Oreochromis niloticus: one gene and its partner. The protein of the gene in region 2 interacts with the protein of the main gene of each other region in a biochemical or structural test. Links are inferred from orthologs where the notes say so. Each region holds a gene or a part of one and is shown on either strand. Other genes may lie near its edges. The genes, in order: rnf181 and itga2b.

Region 1 (11,551 bases), on a different chromosome or scaffold from region 2:
GAGGTAAATCCTCTTGTGCTCCTGAGAGTGTAAGCAAGGGTTCTCCTTGTTTTTATGATCTCGATGTCAGTTTCTCCTCTTCGTCTTTACTTACTACCCAGAACCTCACCCCTCAGGTCTCAGCCCCCTCACCCCTCCCCGTTTTTGTCTCTCTGTCCCCACCTTCAAAAACATCTTCACCATCTCCAGTCTCGCCACTAATAGTCTCTTCTCCAATGGCCTTTAATAACCACAACAGACAATTGCTGGAGACAGCACCCGCAACCCATACAACCACCACCTTCACTGTACAGCAACCGCCTGTGGTAGAGCCATCCCTGGATGAGGCACTAGACAAGCTTCTAGCAATGAGTTTTTCACAAAATCACACAATGGCGAATGTGGATGGACCTCAGCTGAAGAATGATGCAGAGTGTCTAGGCAGAGGAATGCAGGAGGTGCACGAGGAGCTTATCCTGCCCTTGGACAGAAGCAGTGTCCAGCCAGACACTTTCACCAACACTTTTACAGACGATTCAGTGGACGGAGGAACAGACGGGAACGGAGACCTGGACTGGGCAGACGAAGAGCTGTCCATGTCCTTACATGACGGTCTGGATGGCACCATGACCCCTTACACTGAGAGGCTCTATACAGATGGCAGCATGACCCCACTGACAGAGGCCAGTTGGATGGATGAGTCCATGACCCCATCGTCATGCCCCGGGACCCCTGACGTCACCCTGGACCTGCCCCTGCTTCAGACACCCACTATAGACAGAGTCTCAGCATCTGGACATGTACGCTTCGCCGGGCCTGCCTGATTTTAAAATAGGCTTGTTTTGCTAGCTAATGAGACTGATGCTCCTATGAATCCCAGCCTCTGCTGCAAGGGTTTATCTTGCATGTTTCTTGAAAAACTAAAACATGGCATCTAATATTTTATCTGCTATTTTGACCACTACTATGATCCTTACATCAGATACAATTATGATTGATTTATTAGCTTTCAGTATCATCAGGGCTGTGATTGGCCAAAGTCTTGAGCTCGATTCTTTTCATCCCTGTAAACAGACCTTGGAGGAGATGCGTGATTTGAGATCCTGTCAGACAATTTCATTAATAATATGGTGCCCAGTTACTCCAAAAATATATTGCATACCCCCAATTTAGCCAGGCAAATAAACCAGGCGGAAAAACGCAATATGTTTAAGCTTTGATCGATATATAGAAACTACATGTATTTGTTTAGAAGAAAATGCCTTGTAAGTAAGAGGCTGAAGGAGCTGAAGCAAGCTAATTAATAGGTTTTGCTTGGAAACTACACTTACAACTAACCTGCTGTTTGGTAGCACCAGCACTCTGCATGGCACCACTGCATTTGTGTGAAGGACCAAACTGAGAGCTGATGTTTATGTGGCTGCTTGAGAAACTGAAGGATGAGAGTTAGATCATCGATAGCAGTGGCTTCTGATGAAAGCATGCGTAAAGTTCCTAATATGGGACTCTGAGCTCAGTGACCACTGCTTTGCCGGCATGTCAGTGACTTGAAAACGGCTGGTGTGACTGACCTGCTGCCTCAGTGCTCTGCTGTAAGTGCTTGAGCTTGTAAATTGGAGTGGACATATGATAAGGTGTTCACTCCCTCCCTCCCTGCTCTTAGATAAAATCAGTTATTAGGCGCACTAAGGAGACTCCCAATGTGCACCCCATGTACCGAGAGGCTCACCTGCGCAGGAAGATGGGACCCATCATTGTAAACAAGAACTCTTCCCAGGACCGTCTCATAGAGGAGCTTCAGGGTAAGCTTGGGATCGGCCGCTCAGAACGGCGGCGCAAACAGTCCGATGATTGGCTGACGGAGGGTGTCATCATCACGTCCAAACCTCAGCGATATCGTCCCGATGGGGCGGCCAGTGAGGTCGACAAGGTTGGCTTCAGTGTGCTTGCCAGTTTCCACAAATTCTCCTTTTGCAGTTGTTTCACTTTTGTTTTCCTTTTCTGCACATTTCCTGTCTCCTTCCTTCCTTCTGTTTTTCCTCTTTTCTTCAGATCATAATTCCCCCCGAGTCGCCTGTCCCTGTGAGGAAGGTGCTCCCACCTCCCTCTCCCCCTACCCCTCGTCGCCCCCTGTCATAGAAGAACCTAAGCGACCCCTCCCAGTACAGCACCCCCCTGTCCCAATACCACCCCCACCTCCTCCACCTCCTTCACCACCTCCACAACGTACCCACCACATTCACGAACCAGTTCCCGCTCCACCTCGGCAGTTCATAAAACCCTCACCTCCACCGGCTCCAGTCCAGAACCCTTCTACACCTAAACCAGAGCCGCCTCTTCCTGTCCTAAAAACCCCAACCCAGCCACCAACAGTGGACTCGGTTCCCCCAGTTGCACCCAAAGTCCTGGTCTCTGTAGGCTGCCAAACTGAGTATGACCCCATCTTCCCTCCAATGCAGGCATGAACCCCTCCCTCTTTTATTCCTTCTGTTTTTCACGCTTATTTTAAAGTTTAGTATCCCAAAACTTAAATAGTTTTGTTACATTTCAACAGTAAATAACTATTTTCATACTGAACCATTTCAGATTATGGCCCAAGGGAAGGGTGGTGTCTCCGGTGGGCCCCCGACACAGGTCAACAAGCTGGACAACATGCTTGGCAGCCTGCAGTCTGACCTCAACAAACTGGGCGTGCAGACAGTAGCTAAAGGAGTTTGCGGAGCCTGCTGTAAGCCGATTGTGGGACAGGTGAGATGGTTCGGTTAAGGTAATCTTTTGTCTGTAACATAAATTGATGTTTGCTAACCATGCTTCGGTTATCTGTTTTTTTTTGTCGTTTATTTTTTAGGTGGTGACCGCCATGGGCCGCACATGGCACCCCGAACACTTTGTGTGCACACACTGTCAAGAGGAAATCGGCTCCAGGAACTTTTTTGAACGTGAAGGACAGCCCTACTGTGAGAAAGATTACCACAATCTGTTCTCTCCGCGGTGCTACTACTGCAACGGGCCCATCCTGGATGTGAGTCACTGCTCTCCACACATGTGGTCTCTGCTGTAGACGTGTCAGCCAATAATAAATGTCTTCAATGTCCATTCAGAAAGTTGTGACGGCGCTGGATAGGACATGGCATCCCGAACACTTCTTCTGCGCTCAGTGTGGCTCTTTCTTTGGCCCTGAGGGTAAAGTGATACAAGTATATTTTTTTTAATCATACTGCTTAGCAGTTTCTCTCTACTTCAGAGTGGATATAATCTCTTGTCTCTTTCTACTTTCAGGTTTTCATGAAAAGGATGGAAAGGCCTACTGCAGGAAAGATTACTTTGACATGTTTGCACCGAAATGCGGCGGCTGTGCCAGAGCCATTCTGGAAAATTACATCTCAGCTCTGAACTGTCTTTGGCATCCCGAGTGTTTTGTTTGCAGGGTTAGTGTTATGCTTAAGTCAGGAACTTTTCCTTAATAGTTTGCACGCCTTGTAAGAAAAAGAGTACTAAAATAATAATGTGTGTGTGTGTCTCTGCAGGAGTGCTTCACCCCGTTTGTGAATGGAAGCTTTTTTGAGCATGACGGCCAACCCTACTGTGAAGTGCACTACCACGAGCGTCGCGGCTCCCTCTGCTCCGGCTGCCAGAAGCCCATCACGGGGCGCTGCATCACAGCCATGTCCAAGAAGTTTCACCCAGAGCATTTTGTCTGTGCCTTCTGCCTGAAACAGCTCAACAAAGGCACCTTTAAAGAGCAAAACGATAAACCCTACTGCCACGGCTGCTTCATCAAGCTGTTCAGTTAGAGAGTTAGGGGGAATGTTTAACACTGGCACACTTGGGTCAGGGCTAAAATGAGAGTCTGAAGCATTTCTAGCACAGGGAGAGTGAGAACGGGTTTAGTTTGTATCACAGGAAGCTGTCTCTGGATGATGGCGTTGGAAGTGTGTATGGGCTAAGTATGTGCATGTGGTTGAAGCGGTGTGCTGCTTCTGCCAGACTAAATGTTTTTCATGTCATTCAGATTTTTTTTTTTTTTTGATTGACAGCAGTTTATTTGTGAAGCTTTTTATGTGTTGTGAGCGGGTGACTATATCGGATGAGGGTGTATTTGGTCTTTAAAGGAAAATCCCCCCCCCCTCCAAATCAGCAACTTTTCTCCCAGTCTACTTAGATGTGCTGAAACAAACAGCTGTCTCTGTTTTGTTTTGTTTGTTTGTTTTGAGTGTGTGTGTGTGTGTGTGTGTGTGTGTGTGTGTGTGTGTGTATGTATGTGTGTAATCCTCAAATCATTTTATTTTTTATCTTTTTAGAAGGTGATAAATTGTTACTAAGCACACTGAAACTCTGATCTATGAAACGCTCGGTGTGTGGTGAAGTTACTCACTGGTTGAGTGCGTCATTTTAGAAATCAAATAAAATGAACATATGGCAGGGAACAGGTGACCTGTTGTTTTTACACAATATAAACACTTTTTTTTTTTTTTTAAACAAATGATCAGGATAAAAGGCTTTTTACTTTCTCCCTTCCCTAGTCTAAAGTCAGATAAGGCACATCTTTATATAACTGATAAAGTTGTGTTTTATGGTGAAATGCATCTTTAGTGTCCCTTGACCAAAAACCCCTTTCTAGTATGTCATATTTTAATTAAAGATGCATACTGTGTTACAAAGCAGTCAAGGGCAAACTGAGCATGGATTAATATTTGACTCAACAGTCACTGCGGTGTTCACTCTTCATTACACGTGCTGCCAAATCATTCCTTTTGATTCCTCTGAATTAAAGCGAGTCTAAAAGCAGTTTGTTGGATTTGCGTCACCTAAAGTGAAACTGCACAGAGATATTGGGAGTACGGTGTTTTTGCGCTACACTACCATTACTGTTTCTGAGTACATCCTGAGAAGTTTTTGTTGTTGTTTGTTGTACATATCCAATGCAGCTACATTGTAAGCATGTACATGTGTTTAATAACCACTCGTTAAAAGAAGGAAAGGGCTGCTGGGAAGGCATAGCGGAGATATTTGGATGTCTTTGCTGATATTACTGTATCGAGAAGCTGATGAATGTTTGTTTTTGAGAGAATGCAAACCGTACACACAATTTGCCTGTGATATTCCGATAACTATGCAACTGTGGATTAACAGCTTTGTATTTCAGCATCAGCATCTATTTCTTAGGCTGTCTGTGCCATTGTATCATGTCTAATAACACTGGCAAATTCAGCAAAAAATACTGAGAGCAGGTCAAGAGTCCGCTGTTCTGTTTTCATGTTATTAGTCTGTGAGTTTGTAAAAATGAGAGCCTGGTGGTCTGCTAGAATAACTGGTAGGACTAGGATGACTCGTCTCCCTCAGCGTCTGAGGAGCATCTACTGTATGACCACCAGGTTGGGGTTCTGTACAACGTTATTCATACACAGCAGACAGATTTGGCCTTTTGTCTTGTTCAGGGAATTCTAGAGCCTTAATTCTTTCTTCTTTTTTTTTCTCACTGTATTTAAGATATCCTGTAACAGTCATCTTTTCAAAATGACTTTCGTAGAGGTTATTTAACCAAAGCCATACCTTCTTTCAGTTTTTCTTGTCTGTTCACTTTGTTTTTTCTTTTCACTTTGAATGTCAATAGATACAAATAGTGAGATTACTCTGTTCTAGCCTGATTATGCCAATAAATTCAGTTTTGGTATCAAAATGTCATCCAAGGGTCTAATTTATGCTAAGCTTTTACTTTGTGTGTAGCTGTTACCCTTAAGCTTTGCAATTTCTTAGCTTCTAGAGAAGCTTTGCATGATTCACAGGTAAAAATGACCCTTATTTATCTTGGTACAGTCTTACACAAGCTGTTTTAGCTTTCTAGTCCTTCCCTTTAAGATAGCCATCTTCTGATTGACTGAATAGTGCAGACAAAAGGTTTAAAGAGAAGATGAGTGTAGCTTTATTAAGGATACCTGCTCTCACTGAAATCATCAAAAACACTCACAGAGATTGCTTGTACACGCGACGACTTCATTATGTAAAGTTTAATTCATCACAGTTAAATAGATAATAATCATCATAGGTCCACTTTAATCAGACATTAGTCCAGCTGTATAGCACCTCTTTCAGGACGAGGTAAGAGCCCTCTTCTTCTGCTTATCCACTTCAGGGTCACAGCTGGGTGATAGGCAGAGTACACCCTGGAGAGGTCACAGAGCTAATGCATAGATTATTCATGCTCACACCTTTACACCTTTAGTTAATTTAAAATCCCCAATGGGGATCAAGATACGCATAGGATTCAAACCCACAACCTTCACAGCACCCTGCTGTCCCTACTCACTATGATAAGTTAGCCCTTTTTATTTAAGCAATTCTACAAAATCTAGGCAGAAGGTCCGTATTATTCATCACCTATAGATTAGAAAAATAATAAATAAATGATTCGTTTCCGTACAGAAACCCTTTGAAAGTTCAGTGTTTGGGAACGTCTTTCACCGATTGTGGGCGCTAGTGAGACATTTTGCACGCTTACGTAGACAAACAAAACAGAAGACGAGGAAAACCAAACCTCTACTGTGATTGGACGAGGAGTCACGTGGCTATCTTCCTACCCGGAAAGATGACAAATGTTTCTTTGCAAGATTTCAGGTGAGTCGACCAAATTTATCAGGTCGGGAATAGTTTTAAGACAATAAATTCTTTTTGTATTTTATGATTGGACAAAGCTCGTGTAAGGGTTGGTGTTTCCGGTAGTTCAGTGTGGAGGCTATTTGTAATGTGGAAGAGCCTTTGAGCCATTGTTGGTCGTTAACGTCGAAGCGGCTGGCTCACTGTTTACACAGTTCGGCTGGAAAACGCTTTTTGCGATGTTCTCAGTTTTATATTTTGAAGTTTTATTTGTATCCTTAATACGTGAACAGAATTTGCTAAGTTGAGCAGTTTTCTCTTTTGTTTTCACGTAATAAAGCAAGTAGCCCAGGTCGATGGTATCTCTGCGCTGACTCGTGTTTTTGTTGTTATCTGCCCCCCTCCCCCTCTATTGTGATCGAGTCCCCAAGGAAAGCCTTTATTGTAAAACATGACCGGACTGTGTTTCAGATCCCCATCACACTCTCTTTGAATGTTTATCCTGAACAAAACTGAAGTTACAAAACAACATCAGTCCCTGCCATCAAGGCACATATATATCTGCTTTCCAGTATGATTGGCATAGCTGTGTTTCTCGTACTTTCCTGCACGGTGCTCACTCATCAATCGCATTCCTCAGCTTTTCATTTTCACTGTCTGTTGTAGAGCCAAGCTTTAATGAAAGCATGTCTCATGCCTGATTTCTGTTGTTGTGAACAGGACATACTGGGCGGAAATGGCATCCTACTTTGATGAACACAACTGCGAGCCCACCGACCCCGAGGAGCAGTACCGCCAGAATGCTCTCCTTGAGATGGCCAGGTGAGGGCGAGCAAACAAAGAGGCTTTATTCTCATGTCTGCAGCGCTCTGACTGACTGTTGGTGTCTGCGTTGGTGTTTACAGGTATTTGATACAGGGCTTGGACTGGATCGACGCACGCTATGCTGGCATGTCAAGCTGGGACCAGAGGCTTCCTCCTCCAGCTGCCAAAACTGCTGTTCAGACCCTCACTGTGATCGTTATAACTGCTGAACAAGCAGGTAGACAGAAGCACGAGAATTAACTGCGCTGACATTTAGATTGATGATCAGCCCATTAAGAAAGGGCAGAAAATCTACGTAAGCGTGCATAGTACCTGAGATTTTGATGTGGCTTTTTGTTTTTCATTCTCACAGGCAGAGGTCTCAAGTGTCCTGTGTGTCTGCTGGAGTTCGAGGAGCAGCAAACGGCTCGAGAAATGCCTTGCAAACACCTTTTCCACTCAGGATGTATACTCCCATGGTTGGACAAGGTAACGCTCCCGTGTTTGTGCTTCTCTTTGAAATAGAAAACACACGATCGTGACCTCTTACAAATCCTTTTTTCTTTTTCTTTGTCGTCTTTAAACTTTAGACCAACTCCTGTCCGCTCTGCCGACTTGAATTACCCACCGATAATGCAGACTATGAGCAGTTTAAAAAAGACAAGGTGGGTGTGTTTGAGTGTGTCCTGTCCTCACGTTTAACGGTACATTTATCGTGGCATTAGCTGAATATTGTTATTTATTTATTTTTCTGATCTGCAGGAGAGAAGGAAACAGAGCGAGCATCGGCTGGAGGGCCTGCATGGAGCCATGTACACATGACGCTGCAGTGCTGTTGGGCAAGGTTGTGGCACATTGACATTTTAGTTTAATGAAAGCTTGAGAAGTGCATAAAGCTGCATTCGCACACCATTTCACACAGTGTAGTTTCACGCTCAGGGATGGGGAAACAGTGTGAAATATTTGGCAAAATATCAGCAATAAAATTGTAATACTGAAAAAATGGACCACAGTAAAATAAAAACAACACATCAGTTTATCTGGAATGACTTTATGTTGGGCAATCGGGATGACTGTCGAGGATTAGTGTGAACAGGCTCCTGGTCTCCCGACTCTGTTGACGTGGTGTGAATGCAGTGTAAGCAACAAGGTCATTAAACATTTAAAATGCTCGTTTTCTCACTAGCTAGGACCATTATACTTCCACATCCTGTTGCCAGCAGAGCGCTCTCAGACACAGCAGCTGCTTTTTCTTTTCCTCTAAAAACAAACCAACAAAAAAACCCAACTTTGTAGGCTATAAATGGACAAAATCTGTTCGTCTGTATTTGTTCAACAACTATGAAGTAATTATGATTTGTAATTTATGATTTTAACCTCTGTCTGCTGCTGTTCTTACTTCTTCATAAAATAAAATAAAAATAAATTAAAAAATGATTTTATTTTGGTTGTTTTTTTTAATCAAAAGCTTAATTTTAAAAGAATCGCCAACAAGCTTAGCGGAAGTCAAATTCTGGGTTGCCCGTTGTTCACGGATAAATGCCCGCATCTTTCAAACTCCATGTTCCCAGTAGAGAACGGGCTTTTTTTTGTACATTTGCAGTCTCAGCAGATTTTTCTGTCTGTTCCTCGTGCTGAGTAATTTGATCTGTAACTGGGAAGATTTGTGGAGTTCCCCTTCAGCTGGTCCCATGATGTTGTTTTTAATTTTAGAGAAAACACTAGCTGTCCTGTAGCCTATCTGGAGTGAATATTAAGAACACAATCTGCACAGAATTGGTTTTGATGCTCCTGAATCATATGACAATCTTCAAACTGCGTCCACGTCACAGTGGTAATGTGGGAAACATTACCAGAAGACAGTTGCCCTGATGAAAGGGATGATGAAATTAAAATAGAAGCTGATTTGTAGAGTTGAACTAATTTTGCCGTTTATATAACGTTGTAGTTTACACATTCACTGAGTGTTTTTGAGAGCCCAAGAGCCCCGGTCTGATCCCAGGAGGAGATCTGAATTCCTTCGGGGTTGCGTCAGGAGGGGCATCCCACACAGAAGAAAATAATCTTCTAAATCGAAGACACAGCAGCTGAAAGTAACATTGAGGAAACAAAGGGAATTCTGTGCGTTTAAAATAGTCCATGAAAGCCACATGCTAATAATTTATCATTTTTATTTCATATTTGAATATAAATCTCTGTCAAATGAAAATACCTAAATGATAGACAAAAATCATACATATTTACAGAATTTATAAAAAACAAACAATTTGTGTTGACTTGATTTCAGGGATTTGTCAGACTCGTGATTACCATTCCTTTACATACTCTTCAAATTCAAAAGAAAAATAGGACCAGTAAAGTTTTTCTGTGTTGTTAAAGTTCAAGACGTACAGTTCAGGCGGCTTTTTGTAATACAGTGTTCTTACACAAACAACCTAATGATCTGACTGCATATTGAAGTGCACATTTGGATAGAAAGAAAAAAAATAAAATAATGAAATCCACTTTAATTTAATATTTGGCGTGTGGAAGATGGCATTATGGTATAGATGCTGTAACAGAATAATCCCAGCCCCAATGTGAGGACTCAAACAAGCTGCCATTGGGAGTCAAACTGCATGACTCAGTTACAGTATAGCAAAACAGGTTACAGGTGAACACATGAGAAGAAGGGGAAAAAAAAAAAAAAAAAAAAAGTACAATAAAAGATGTAATGGTAAAACAGAAAAGACACAAAAAAATTTTTTTAACTCAACCTGGAGTAGATTTGTCTTTTTGGCAAGTTTTGCAGGACAAACAGGATTGACAAAACAGACACATGATTGTGCATCCTGTGTAACAGTGCATCCACTGTGCTGTTACACAGGATGCTGACACTTCTTAGGACAGACACTTGCAGACAGAGCCGCAGACTGCCGACTCGCCATAACATTAAATACCTCAAACGCTGCGAGATGGAAAAGGTTTCACAACTGTATTCTGCACTACAAGCTTTCACCTTCTGGTAACATCCAACTGACAAACGATAGAGGTAGGTGACCTTTTAAAAAAAGAAGGAAAAAAAAAAAGTATTGCTGGCATCCAGTGTTTCAGACAGTTTAAAATGACTCAACACTATGCAGAGGGCAGAATACTGTGCATCTGTGAAACACACCTCATTCACTCCAACATAAAGAAATGTAACAGGCAGCATTAGCCAGCTGCTGTTTGACCAGTGGTGATGTGTGGCAGTCTGGTGTTGAGCTACAACAAAGATAACAACTTAAGAGAAATTGGCAACAACACAATTAAAAAAAAACAAAAACGCATTACATAAAGCACTTTGACATCAGTCTACAGCCTGTATCATATGTACCTCTCCTGTGAATAAATCACACTACCTTGGGCTTCACATCACTTCATACTGAAACAAAACGCTGGTCGATGAACTCAAATAAGGCTTCCAAGGGTCCAGCTTGGAATCACATCAATGTGCAAACAAGAACTGCGTTATTCTCAAATGCCAAAGTCGATTCTTGTTTTAACTCACATGCGAGCTTGTTTTATCATAACATGGGCTTTAAATGTCTGTCAGAACCAAAGAGAAGGTTTGCGTTAAACTCATTATCACATGACTGATGGCAGTTATTGCGTGGACATCGGTGAAATAAAGGGTAACATGAAATGTTAGCATTCCAAAGAAACTGACTACAAATTAATGGAACGACATAAAGGAGATGACAATTATCATTGATTCATTTCCATGCTGCTCGCACACGAGGGACGCAGGCCCAAGATACACATTTACACGTTTTTAAAAAAATTATTTAAAAAGTACCTTGACCATCTGAATTCAAATTATCTGTGCAACCAAACCAAAGGCAGGTGCAATAATTAATTTATGCTTGATTGATTAAAAAAGCCTGTGTGCTCTCAAACTGTAAAACATAACGTAACTATTCATTTCTCAGACATTCAGTGGTTCCTACCTACTACACAAACTCGGAAATCAAACATGAAATGCTCTTCTGTTAAAAGAAAAAGAAAAGTGTGCCGTGCAGAGAGAAGCAAAACGCCGAAGCAGGTCAGCCACACAAAAGTTTTGGGTAGGAGTCTGGGGAGAAGGAGAAAACCAAGGGACCAGCTATGCAGAGTAAAAAAACAAAAAAAACAAACTACTCTCCCAGTCAGGCAA
Region 2 (11,835 bases):
TTGCTATGGCAGCCATCTGTGTGGGAGGGGGTGCTCACCTGAATCCAGCGATTACCCTAGCAATGGTCCCGACCTCAAGGCTTCGGCTCTGGAGGGCGGTGTTGTATGTGATTGGTCAGCTCTTGGGGGGTGTGGCTTCTGCAGTGCTGTTGCTGGGACTGACTGGAGATGTCACACATGCACTCAACCAGGTAAGCTTCATTTAGTTAAGTTTTATACGTCTAGCACCAAATCATCTGCAAACAGTTGCAGATGAGGTGATCACCGCTGGTGTTGGTGACATTATAAAGTAAAGACTAAAAGAAAAAAAATAAATAAATAAATAAAGTAAAGACTCCACAATAATACAGAAAAAACCTAACAACAATCAGACAGTCCTTTATTTGCAAGCACTTTGGCGACAGTGGGAAGGAAAAACTCCCTTTTAACAGGAAGAAACCTCCGGCAGAGCCAGGCTCAGGGAGCGGCGGGGCCATCTGCTGTGACCGGTTGGGGTGAGAGAAGGAAGACAGGATAAAGACATCCTGTGGAAGAGAGACAGAGATTAATAACAAGCATGATTCAGTGCAGAGAGGTCTATTAACACAGTGGTTCCCAAACTTTTTTTGCCAGGCCCCCCTTTTTTACAAGAAAAATGTTCGCGCCCCCCACCACCTAACCCCCCCACAAACACATCCTCCAAACACACACACCCATATTTTGCTCCATTGCGGTTTATTTCACACCTCAAACATTTAGTAAACAATTAAGCAAATACAAGTAAACGGCAATAAATTACTGGTAGTAATAAAATATACTACTAAATATACTACCCCTGCCGGATGTGGTGCCTCCGCTGTTAGTGGGCCTAGCCATCAGTTTGGGGCACCTGGTGGCTGTAAGCACCTGCATGCTGTTATTTCTAGTATCTGACTGTAATCACACACACACACTTTCATTTAGCTTTTTATCTGCAGGTGTAATGCAGATAAAAATGTCTCTCACTCTCAGGTAAGTGTGACAGGTTGTGGGATGAATCCAGCTCGCTCCTTTGGTCCGGCGGTCATCACACTCAACTTCAACAACCACTGGGTAACAACACACACACACACACACACACACACTAATGCAGACTCATACTCAGATCTGATTGGTTGCTTTTGTGCAGGTTTTCTGGGTGGGGCCTAGTTTGGGGGCGTGTCTTGCTGCTTTCCTGAATGACCTGTTGCTACGGCCTCGCTGGCATCGCCCTGGAGACTGGTGGGTGGAGCTAAAGCAACTGTATGTGTTAACAGAGAAACAACAGCAGGTGGCGTCTCACTTACCGTAACTAATGCACCATTTTGTAGGACCGAGGCCAAACTGCAGCAAACAGGGACGGTATGAGGTCCAGTTTCTGTTTTTGCTCAATATAAGACCTGATTTTATTATCTTATGTGCATCTGTAAACACGTGCGTCACGGCTTTGTCTGAACACTTTAACATTTGCTCTGAAGTCCTCACAACCATGTTAAATGTTTTTCAGAGAAATGTGATGAATAAAATCATCTCACAGCAAAAATAAACTGCAGCACCTTCGTTAATGACATTAAACACCTGAAAAACTGTCCGTGCAGAATCAACTGAACCTCATCCACATAAACTCCTCAGAGTAGAAGGGTTGTTCACGGACACAGACCGTGCCATTTCAGTCAGCTCAGCCTTTAAACTTTGTGTCTTTTAACAACATGTTTGATGCTTTTTCCAGCCTTCATCAGGTACGTTTATTGCCTCACTGAGTAATGTGTCTGTTAAACTGTATTATTTTTCATTTTCTCAGGATGTGACTCAGGTCATGTTATCATGCATTAGTTTCCTGTTTCAGAGCTGAGCTGTGGTCTCACATTGCTTTTTACTGTCAGCGTAAATGAATCCAGTAAAAATGCTGAAACTTGTGAGTAAAATGTTTGCGGGACATGTTTATTAATCCTTTGTTTAAGATTCAAACCTCATTTCCAAGAGAGGCCTGCAATAAAAGAGGAACAGTTATGGCGTGCAGTGGTGGGAGGTTCATGTTGGAGTGAACACAAAGTTTAAGACAGTTTTGTTGTTCAGCTGTTGATGACTTGTGCTGACATCATGACTGTCTGACCAAGTGGAAAAAGTGGTAAAGACATCAGGCTGTTTCAAGTCAAGCAGCTTTACTGTCATTCCCACCGTGTGCAGTGGTACAGCATACGGTGGGAATGACAGCGTTCCTCCAACACCACGGTGCTACAAACAGTCAACACAGGACTGCATAACAACAGGCAGAATGATAGTTCTGACAGACAGTGGTGTGTGTGATGTTCATGTGGGGCAGTTAAAAACTGCACTCAGTACACATCACAAACAGGAAGGTTTTCCTGCTTCAGATCTTCACACATGTAGATGTAAATAAATCATAAATGCACTCTGTTTCTGACAGGGCTGTGGGAAAAATAAAGGCAGCATGATATTTTTCGTGGCCATATTGTATTGATACAGGACAAATATGTATATTTTATTAAATAAATGAAAATAGCTTTGGAAAACTACAAACAAAAGGGCTCGTCTCCTGGACGTTAGCAAACTAACATCCAATAAAACGAAAAAAGCTTCCAATACTGGACACGCTCAGCTCGACACATCGCTCACTTACACCAGCAGAAACAGGACAGCCTTATCAATAACAGACTTCCTGAGATGCCAGCTTGACCCAGTCGATTGCTGACTGATAGCAGACTGACTTTAGCATCATTTATATCAGTGATAGGTGTGTTTAGCACAGGCCTACTGCTGGAACACCAAGACAATTCTACTACAACAGCAAAAGCAAGACGCAAGTCACCAAAGTTCTTTGTGTTGCTCGTGGACGAGGGAGAGAACTGTGACGAGCGCCATTCCTTCAGCTCGAACCCCAGTCACTCTCAGTCAGCTCCCCCGTAGCACTGCTCTTTTATTGAGGTTAAATGAATATGCATAGGTTCATTAACATATGACATCTTACATAGGCATACATGTGAACAAAGAGTACTGTCTGTGTGCGTGCGTGTGTGTGTGTCAAGATGTGACCCTGTGAACGACTCCCCAAAGCTGGTGCCAGGAGTCCAGCGGTCCACCTAAACAAAGGGCTCTTATACTTGAACAGATACAGAGTAGGTGTCCTCCTATACCATAAATCAGTAAGAGAAGGTACGACCTTTCTCATGACCTTAGGATGTGTGTGCATGCCAGAGTGCTCTGGGAGGCACAGAGAGTCTTTGCAGACTGCTAAGGATCAGACATCCTATCAATATGCAATCGATTATAAAACTCTAAGCATATATGAGTATATATTTCTAAGCATAAATGACAATCCAACAATATAAACCTAACAATCAGGCTGCAGTGTTTGCATGCTTGGCAACAAAATAACTGAAGTTAGATAACTTTATCTTCCTGAAACACAAACTGACAAAGTTTCACCTTGATGATGTAATCTGCACTTTAAAGATAATAATTAACAATATATGTTACTCTGCATATTGCAATATGTTATACCAAAGTCATATGGTGGGGTTAGGGTCACCAAAGCTCTTTAACTCTGTGAGGAGTTAGTATTCCTGAACTTACTGTAAGCCTGTGTTTCAGATGAAATGTTTAATCATAAAGACTAAACATAAAACAAAATAATTTTGAATGTGAGTGAGTGAGGATGACTACGGACGTCTGCACGTCAAATAGCACTGTACAGATTTATTTTACCAAGTGGATCATTACAACTTTTGCTGTACTGGTACACTTGATAGAATAGAATCGATCTTTATTGTCACTGTTGCAGAACAGTTAAACACAGTTTGGCATATCTCAATTGGCAGCATGTAGATTTTTGTCACTGAAAAACTGCTTCATCACCTGCTAAAACGAAGAACAGAGCAGGGAAACTACGGCAACAACCAACATCAGCATGAGTAACAGGAAATAATAAATACTGAATGTTACTGAGCAGCACAATACTAATGATGCACAACAAAGCCAGGGGGGCCAGGTCCCGGCAAGCATCCACCAGGAGTGAGCCACTACACACCCAAGCACCCAGCCCCGGGCACCGGTGGGTAGGGGCACCAGCCACTGGCAGGGAGCATGTTGGAGGGGATTTAGGTCCCCGCACCTAGGGGGGACCTGAGATGTAAAGAGGTGGAGTCTAAGACCCGACCTGACACATAAACATACACAAACAGGCACACACAGACACAAGCATGCATTCCCACCCTCATGCACACATATACAAATACTCAGCACTCGCCCAACATGGAGACACACAGAAATGAACACTGTACACACACTCACACTCCCCATACATACTCTATACCCCAGGTCCAGGTACCATCACCCCCAGAGGGGCAATCCGCCCCTAGACACAGGAGACCTTGCCCTTTGCTCTGGGGTGGAGACAAACACAGTGCTCCCGGTCCCACAGCAGCACCAGGGAAGCCCAGCATCCCAGATCCCGACCAGATGCCCAACTCCTCCTCCCAGCCCCCCGCCCCGATGGCGAGCAGAGAACGGGGATGTGAAGACCCCATACCTCTCTCTGCCCACACACATGTGGTGTTACGGCGTGTTGTTCTAAAGTGTATTTAACACATGAGAGGGGTGCAGTGCTTTCTGCCAGGAAGCAGCAGGTGTCAGCACGACCCCTCCTGAGAACCCTCAATGTCTACATGTAATTAAAACTGAGAGGTGGGCACCAGAGGTGATGCTGAATAAACAGACTGTCCTATGGATGCCGTGCAGTATGCCCACTCCCAAGGCCCTATATGTAAGTGTCACAACAGTGTAAGAATCTAAGAACTGAGTTTTTTTTATCAATAATTTCATTTACTTTGACTTTTGTTTTACATATTTTAACTAAAAGAGAGCATTGTAATTAACACTGTTATGCTACAGAGATTAACGCTGATTTATCTATTATGACATCACATCGAATTAATTAATTCATGAATAAGTTAGATGTTAATCGAAGAGGAGGAGAGGAAAACAAAGTGGATTCTTAAAATTAATTAATTAAAGCTTGAAAAAAGTTTGTTTATTCGGAGCTACCATTCATTTTTTTCCGCCACATCTCCGATGTCTGACGTCAACTACACAATTTCCTTTATGTCACTCATGCCTCAGTTCCCTCACCAAACTGTAGGTAGTTGATTAGTGGCTGCTGTTCAGTTTCAACTAATGTTCCAACTTCTCCTGTCTTACTGAGGAACTATGTGCCGTTTGAATGAGTCAAGAAATTCAATAGTGGTGACACAATACGTCAAGATTTTATAAACACTGGAACATGACATGGACTAATTCTGTCTGTAATAAATAAAGTGAAGATTAGTGTTGTTCCCTCAAGACATTTCACACAATTAAACATACAAAGTGTCAGCTTCTTGTCATCACTGAAGATGATTCAGGCCTCACAGAGATAACTTGAAGGAGTTACTGATGACTCTGAGAACGATAATAAACAACAGCCAAGTGCAAAGATGAAGAAGACAGAGTCATTTCCTGGATGTCCCTGAACTCACCACAAACACAGAAACATGAAACTCAGATAAGGAGGCTTTTATTTTTAGGTCCTATCAACAGGAAGCAGCAGCTCAGCAGTTAAACTGACACAACTAGCTGTCAATGATCTGTCAATGTACACACACACGCACACACACACACACACACGCACGCACACACACACACACACACACACACACACACACACACACACACACACACACACACACACACACACACACACAGAGTTTATAAGTTCAAACACAGCGGATACTTCATACTCCACACAGTCGGGCAGGCAGCAGTGAGACAGCAGGATGTGTGTGTTCAGGTGTGTGTGTGTGCTGCTGTGTGTGACTCTGGGTGTGAGTCTGAACCTGCTGGATGAAGTCATGTTCAGAGGACCGACAGGAAGTCTGTTTGGATTCTCCGTTGACTTTCACACCATCAATAACAAGTAAGTTGGTGAAAATACCTGGGGTGTCAGCTCAGACAGGAAGGGGTCCATTCCCCAGACCCTGATCTTATTTCATGGATATAACTTAGAATTCCCTGTCTGTAAAAATTAAATAAAGGGTAAACTAAGTTAAACCCTAAGGCAGACTTTCCTCATTCATTGGATGAACAGCTGAAATACACCTGGCACATCTGTTGTGGTTCAAATTACACCTGGAGTGCTTCAGAAGCAGTGTGTTTGTGCTGCATAGGGTCTTTTATTTTGAAAATTGACAGGATTCTCTTAGCTGTTTGTGTAACTTCCTGATTTCCTCACCTGCTTTATGCAGGTGCTTCACATGGTACAAGCTGTGTCCCAAAACATAGGCTGCATCCTTCGGAGGACCTGGCCTTCGCGGTCTACGTGGGTTGGGTCTTTCGTAGACCGAGAAGGCCAGAAGTGCGAGGCTGTGAAATTGGGCAGTCTAGCCTTCAGATTTGCGTCACCATTGTCTCGGTGGAGTTTAATAAACTCAGCTGTCTGCTCCTTGCTATCTAAATATAACAGGACACTGGCGTAAATTCTCGACCGTCTCACACTTCTGTTTAATCAGTTTTCTGTTTGACGTTTATTCAGCTGTGTGAAAATCCCGGAGGAACCCACCCGAGTGATTAATAAAGTTTTACGTAATCTAATCTAATCCAATAATTTTGATCTCAGCCAAACTAAGCCAAACTCAGGAACAAATAAAACACTGAAAAAAGTCAAACAATAACATTTTTAGGTTATCTAAGTGACTTATATACAGTGTTGGGAAGATTACTTTTAAAATGTATTCCATTACAGAATACTGAATACATGCCCCAAAATGTATTCTGTAACGTATTCTGTTACATTACTCAATGAGAGTAACGTATTCTGAATACTTTGGATTACTTAATATATTATCGTGCTGTTTACAACTACGTGAATGTACTATTGCTGTGATTTATTACTGATACTGAAGGTCCGCGGCTCCGAACCGTAGTAAAGGGACCTCTGGCTAATACGGTGGGTTCCGTGTCGGGCTGGTAGCCGAAAACTAGCTTTACTTTGTTGTCTGGGTCAACTTTGCTTGCCAGAGACAGAGAGAGGCGTTGAAAGGCTGCTCCAACGGAACTTAATTTTTCCGGAGGAAAACACGAACACAGTGTACAGTTGAGTCTTAATAGCTTACTTACAAATGGGCTCGTCAGGCACTCTTCTTGGCTGCAGTGGTTATTATTATATTTACATGCTTCCAGCTCCCGTTTTTGCTCCGTGACAGCTCGGACTTTTCCTTTCTCTCCCTCCCTCGCTCACAGACACATAACGGGTACGGTAGTCCATTCTCGCTGCAGCACGGACTACACTGCCCATCATGCTACATTCTTTAGGGCTATACATGTAGCATTCTGCCTATTAGCTTAGCGCAACAACAACAACAACAAAGCGCTCTCTCACCCAGGAAACACGCAGAGAGAGAGCGCGTCACCCTGTAACCATGGCAACCGTAACGCTGCCGCCTGGAACAACATTACGTAGCTGTCAAACAAACCCAAACAGTCCTGACCCGCGACAATATGAAACAGGGAAGTACCGCCGTGTAATCCATTTATTTCAACAAAGTAACTGTATTCTGAATACCACCTTTTTAAACGGTAACTGTAACGGAATACAGTTACTCATATTTTGTATTCTAAATACGTAACGGCAGTACATGTATTCCGTTACTCCCCAACACTGCTTATATATCATGTTTAACCTGAGTAGCCAAAGACCGCAGGGGGCTGAAAACAATGAAGCCAGGAGTCCGCTGTTTTTGCCGGCTCGAGTGACCATTGAACCCTCCGGTTAGCTATTGAGCTGGTGGGTAACAGATGCCTCCGAAAACGTCGGACCACAATATGTGATGTCTTGATAAACGGAGCAGATATTTGAAGTTTACACAGCTACATTCTCGCCTGAAAATATCTTAAAAGTTTATAAGAGTAATATTAAAACTTAGTAGCTGCTTTGTTGGAAAGTGGAATTGGCTGGGCCGCGCTATGAATTCTGGGATATGTTGGGCCACGAAGGACACACCCGACCCATCCTTCAAATGTGGGGAATAGGAGGACGCATTTGTCGGCTGCATTCGGATGAGTCTACGAATTGGGACAGCCTTCGAAGCGTCGCTGTGACGTAATCGGTCTACAAATGCGGCCTCAGGGGGATGCAGCCTACGCTTTAAATGTTGCTGAGCTCTGATTGCCACGGTAACACTCAAGCAGCAGAATCTTTCTGCAGGTCCTTTGTTGTCATTGGAGCTCCCAAAGCCAACACCAGCCAATCAGGAGTGACTGAGGCAGGGGGTGTGTTCCTCTGCCCCTGGTCATCCAGAGGCAGGGACTGTGACATAATTGACTTTGATCTGACAGGTGAGTCTGGCACACTTTTAAGACCTGCACAGTCAGCAGAAATTTCACAACCTTTAAAAGAACACTTCAATTCGATTCAGTTTTATTTATACAGTGCCAAGCACAACAACAGTCGCCTCAAGGAGCTTTATATTGTAAGGTAGACCCTACAATAAAGAACAATGAGCAAGCACTTTGGTGACAGTGGGAAGGAAAAACTCCTTTTTACCAGGAAGAAACCTCCAGCAGAACCAGGCTCAGGGAGGGGCGGGGCCATCTGCTGCGACTGGTTGGGGTCAGAGAAGGAAAACAGGATAAAGACATGCTGTGGAAGAGAGACAGAGATTAATAACACTAAAAAGAAAAACATAACGTTCAGTCCTGCATTCAGAGCAGCATCACCTGCTTCCACATCCTGACCTCACATGATCTCACGGTCCTGACCTTGTACACACCACGCTGTGTTTATCTTACTTGCTGCAGGTGATGAGGTCCACCGCAGTTCAGGTCTGTTGTTTCTCAGCTTAAAGAGCCAGCAGTGGTTCGGCGCAGCGGTGCGATCAGTCGGCAGCACACATCTGCTAGTAAGTCGCGGTCTGTTGGCGCCATCTGCAGGCTGCACAGCTCATTACAGACAGACTAGCAGCAGGTGAGTTCTTTGTGAAGTTCATTCATCATTCGCTGTGCACCTCTCAGGCATGTGCGCCGCTCTTCCACTGGAATGTTCAGAGGGGAGGGGTGGAGTCAGGGATAACACCTGTGGGGAACTGCCTCATATTGGAACACAAGACAGGAAACTCCACCCCCTTCTCCCCCTGCAGAGGGCTCATGATGGAGGAAGACTACAAACGCATGCACAACAGTAAGAAGACACACAGAGACAAAGGGCCTGACTACTTCCTGTTTCCTGTCTTACATCTGTTTCTTGTTGCCTAGGAAATGACCAGCGATATTGTGAGGTTGGCTTCACCGCTGATGTCACCAAGGTGAGATGGTGGTGGGTGGAGTCATTCCTGTGGGAATCACAGAGTACCATGATGATAATGATGATCCACACGGTGGCGCTAATGCTTCATGTCCCTGCATGTTTTAGGACGGTCGGCTAGTGCTCGGAGCTCCCGGAAGCTTCTTCTTTCAGGGTGAGGGCCCCCTGTTGGCCACTTACTGTAATTACACATTACACTTCGAATAGACCTGAACGCAGAACCAGGACATTCTGTTCTACAAGAAAGAAAACATAGTGAAAATGTCACTGACATTCATAGAATGCTAAGAATAAACTTCAGCCTCAGTCTGTTTTTTGCTTTAAAGAACTTGCTTACCACCACCTGCAGGTAAGTGCTGACATCACTGCTGACATCAGCGCTGATGAACACTGTGCTGATTGCAGGTCAGGTGATCACTGTTGGTGTTGATGACATCATCAACAGTGGGAAGAGTGATGATCCTATAAAATATGTGGCGGGCATAAGCCAATCAGATGAGAGGGGAGGCTATGATGTTTACCACGGTGAGTAGCTGAAGAAGGCTTTTATTCTGACAGGAAACTCAAATTTAAAGAATAAAGGCTCAGCTCTGGCTGTTATCAGGTGTTACTACACTTCCCAGAATTCACTGGAAATCTGTTCAAATTTGTTTCAGGTTACTCAGTGGCCAGTGGCCTGCTGACTGGAGACTCCACACCAGGTTATATTACAATATAATACAGTATAATGTGACATAATGTAAGTGGTCATCTCACTGTTTATGTTTCAGATTATCTGGTCGGTGTTCCAAATGACAGAAACACAGCAGGAACAGTAAGATTCTTTCTTTTTTTTAACTCTCTACTGTTTTCTACTTTATTCTCCAGCTTTTTATGGATTTCATCAGTTTAGACTGGTGATACATTGTAAACAGAGCAAGTACTTAAAGAGCACCTTTCTACTTAATTTTGAGCACTGAAAGCTCTTTCAGTCCCATTCACCCAAAGTCTCTCTCTCTCTCTCTCTCTCTCTCTCACACACACACACACACACACACACACACACACACATATGTACAGTGCTTTTATCTATATGTAAATAATTTGAAGGCGGGGCATCCTTTTCAGACACATGCTCACAGGCAAGCATTGTGTGAAAAGAATGGGAACCACTAACCTCGTTTGCCAATCCAGGGGTCTCCCTCGTCCCCAGACTCTGCTTTGCCAAAATCTCTTTAAGGCAGTCCAAAAGTCTTTCTCCATGGCCTCTCTGAACTCCTCCTACATCTGAGTTTTTGCTTCAACCACTTGCAGAGCTGTGGCTGCCTCTGAAGTCCCACAGGCTACTCACCACCAGGTGGTGATCAGTTGACAGCTCAGTCCCTCTCTTTACCCGAGTGTCCAGAACATATGGCTGCAGGTCCGGTGATACAATTACAAAATCGATCATTGACCTGCGGCCTAGAGCGTCCTGGTGCACATGCACTTATGGACACTCTTGTGTTTGAACATGGTGTTTGTTATGGACAAACTCGGGTTCAGATCCGAGAGGCCGTTCCTCCCAATCATGATCCTCCAGGTCTCACTGTTGTTGCCCACATGAGGATTGAAGTCTCCCATTAGGACAACAGAGTCCCCAGGTACAGCACCCTCAGGCACCCTGGCCAGGGACTCCAAGAAGGCTGGGTACTCTGAACTGTCATTCGGCGCATAAGCGCAGACAACAGTCAGGACCCGTTCCCCAACCCAAAGGCACAGGGAACAAAACCCCTCAGCCACTGGGAGAAACCCCAACCTCCAGGCAGCAAGACAAGGGGATATAGGATAGCCACCCCAGCCCGTCGCCTCTCACCAGGGCAACTCCAGACTGAGACAGAGTCCAGCCCCTCTCCAAGAGACTGGTTCCAGAGCCCAAGCCATGTGTTGAGGTGAGCCTGACTTTCTGTTTTCTGTGGTTTACCTGGACTTTTTCATCCATCTGTGTGTTAACAGGTGAAGATCTATGATGGAAGAAGCACTGGATCTCTCAGAGTTCACCACACCTTTCTGGGAGCTCAGGTATAAAACCTCCATTTGCAGCATAAATGGCAGGACTAAAATTTGGAAGTCTGAAAGTGGACCTGTGGTGTCTCTATCTCCTGCAGGTGGCGTCATATTTTGGACACAGTGTAGCTGTGGCCGACGTCAACAGTGACGGGTAAGAAGACATTTGCTTTGGATACTTTCAGACATCAGAGCGGTTTACATTACTATCTCTCCATCTGTCCGCTTGAATGTAGTCTGGATGATGTGCTGATTGGAGCTCCGCTCTTCATGGACAGAGTGAAGGAGCAGCTACAGGAGAGAGGACAGGTATGAACATTGAAAAGCAGTTTTCTTGGTTTGGTCAGTTTTTTTCCTGCAGTAATTTGTATTTAGTGGCATCGACAGACACACAGCAAAAACCCACTCAGAACCAAGCAGGAGCAGTAACAACAAATATGATTTGTATTTATGACATAAGTCAG

What was found.
Region 1: the proteins of itga2b (region 2) and rnf181 form a complex in vitro, tested with the Homo sapiens proteins (2 studies listed by BioGRID). The link is inferred for Oreochromis niloticus from reciprocal best matches to the Homo sapiens genes ITGA2B and RNF181.

What each region holds. Positions count from the first base shown.
Region 1 is NC_031977.2:8,679,819-8,691,369, forward strand, and holds rnf181 (E3 ubiquitin-protein ligase RNF181), read left to right. Parts: upstream 1-6,442; 5' UTR 6,443-6,565; coding exon 6,566-6,594; intron 6,595-7,293; coding exon 7,294-7,395; intron 7,396-7,478; coding exon 7,479-7,615; intron 7,616-7,750; coding exon 7,751-7,866; intron 7,867-7,967; coding exon 7,968-8,042; intron 8,043-8,139; coding exon 8,140-8,199; 3' UTR 8,200-8,644; downstream 8,645-11,551. Other genes in the region: pxnb (mucin-5AC), read left to right, coding at 1-779, 1,643-2,038.
Region 2 is NC_031969.2:35,266,327-35,278,161, reverse strand, and holds the start of itga2b (integrin alpha-IIb), read left to right. Parts: upstream 1-5,774; 5' UTR 5,775-5,828; coding exon 5,829-5,968; intron 5,969-8,254; coding exon 8,255-8,385; intron 8,386-8,847; coding exon 8,848-8,948; intron 8,949-9,060; coding exon 9,061-9,226; intron 9,227-9,300; coding exon 9,301-9,350; intron 9,351-9,366; exon of another isoform or gene 9,367-9,457; coding exon 9,458-9,503; exon of another isoform or gene 9,504-9,585; intron 9,586-9,686; exon of another isoform or gene 9,687-9,732; coding exon of another isoform or gene 9,733-9,754; coding exon 9,755-9,874; exon of another isoform or gene 9,875-9,994; intron 9,995-10,005; coding exon 10,006-10,050; intron 10,051-10,119; coding exon 10,120-10,163; intron 10,164-11,320; coding exon 11,321-11,386; intron 11,387-11,472; coding exon 11,473-11,525; intron 11,526-11,607; coding exon 11,608-11,680; intron 11,681-11,835. Other genes in the region: aquaporin-1-like, read left to right, coding at 1-191, 991-1,071, 1,148-1,309. UniProt on the Homo sapiens protein: Integrin alpha-IIb/beta-3 is a receptor for fibronectin, fibrinogen, plasminogen, prothrombin, thrombospondin and vitronectin. It recognizes the sequence R-G-D in a wide array of ligands.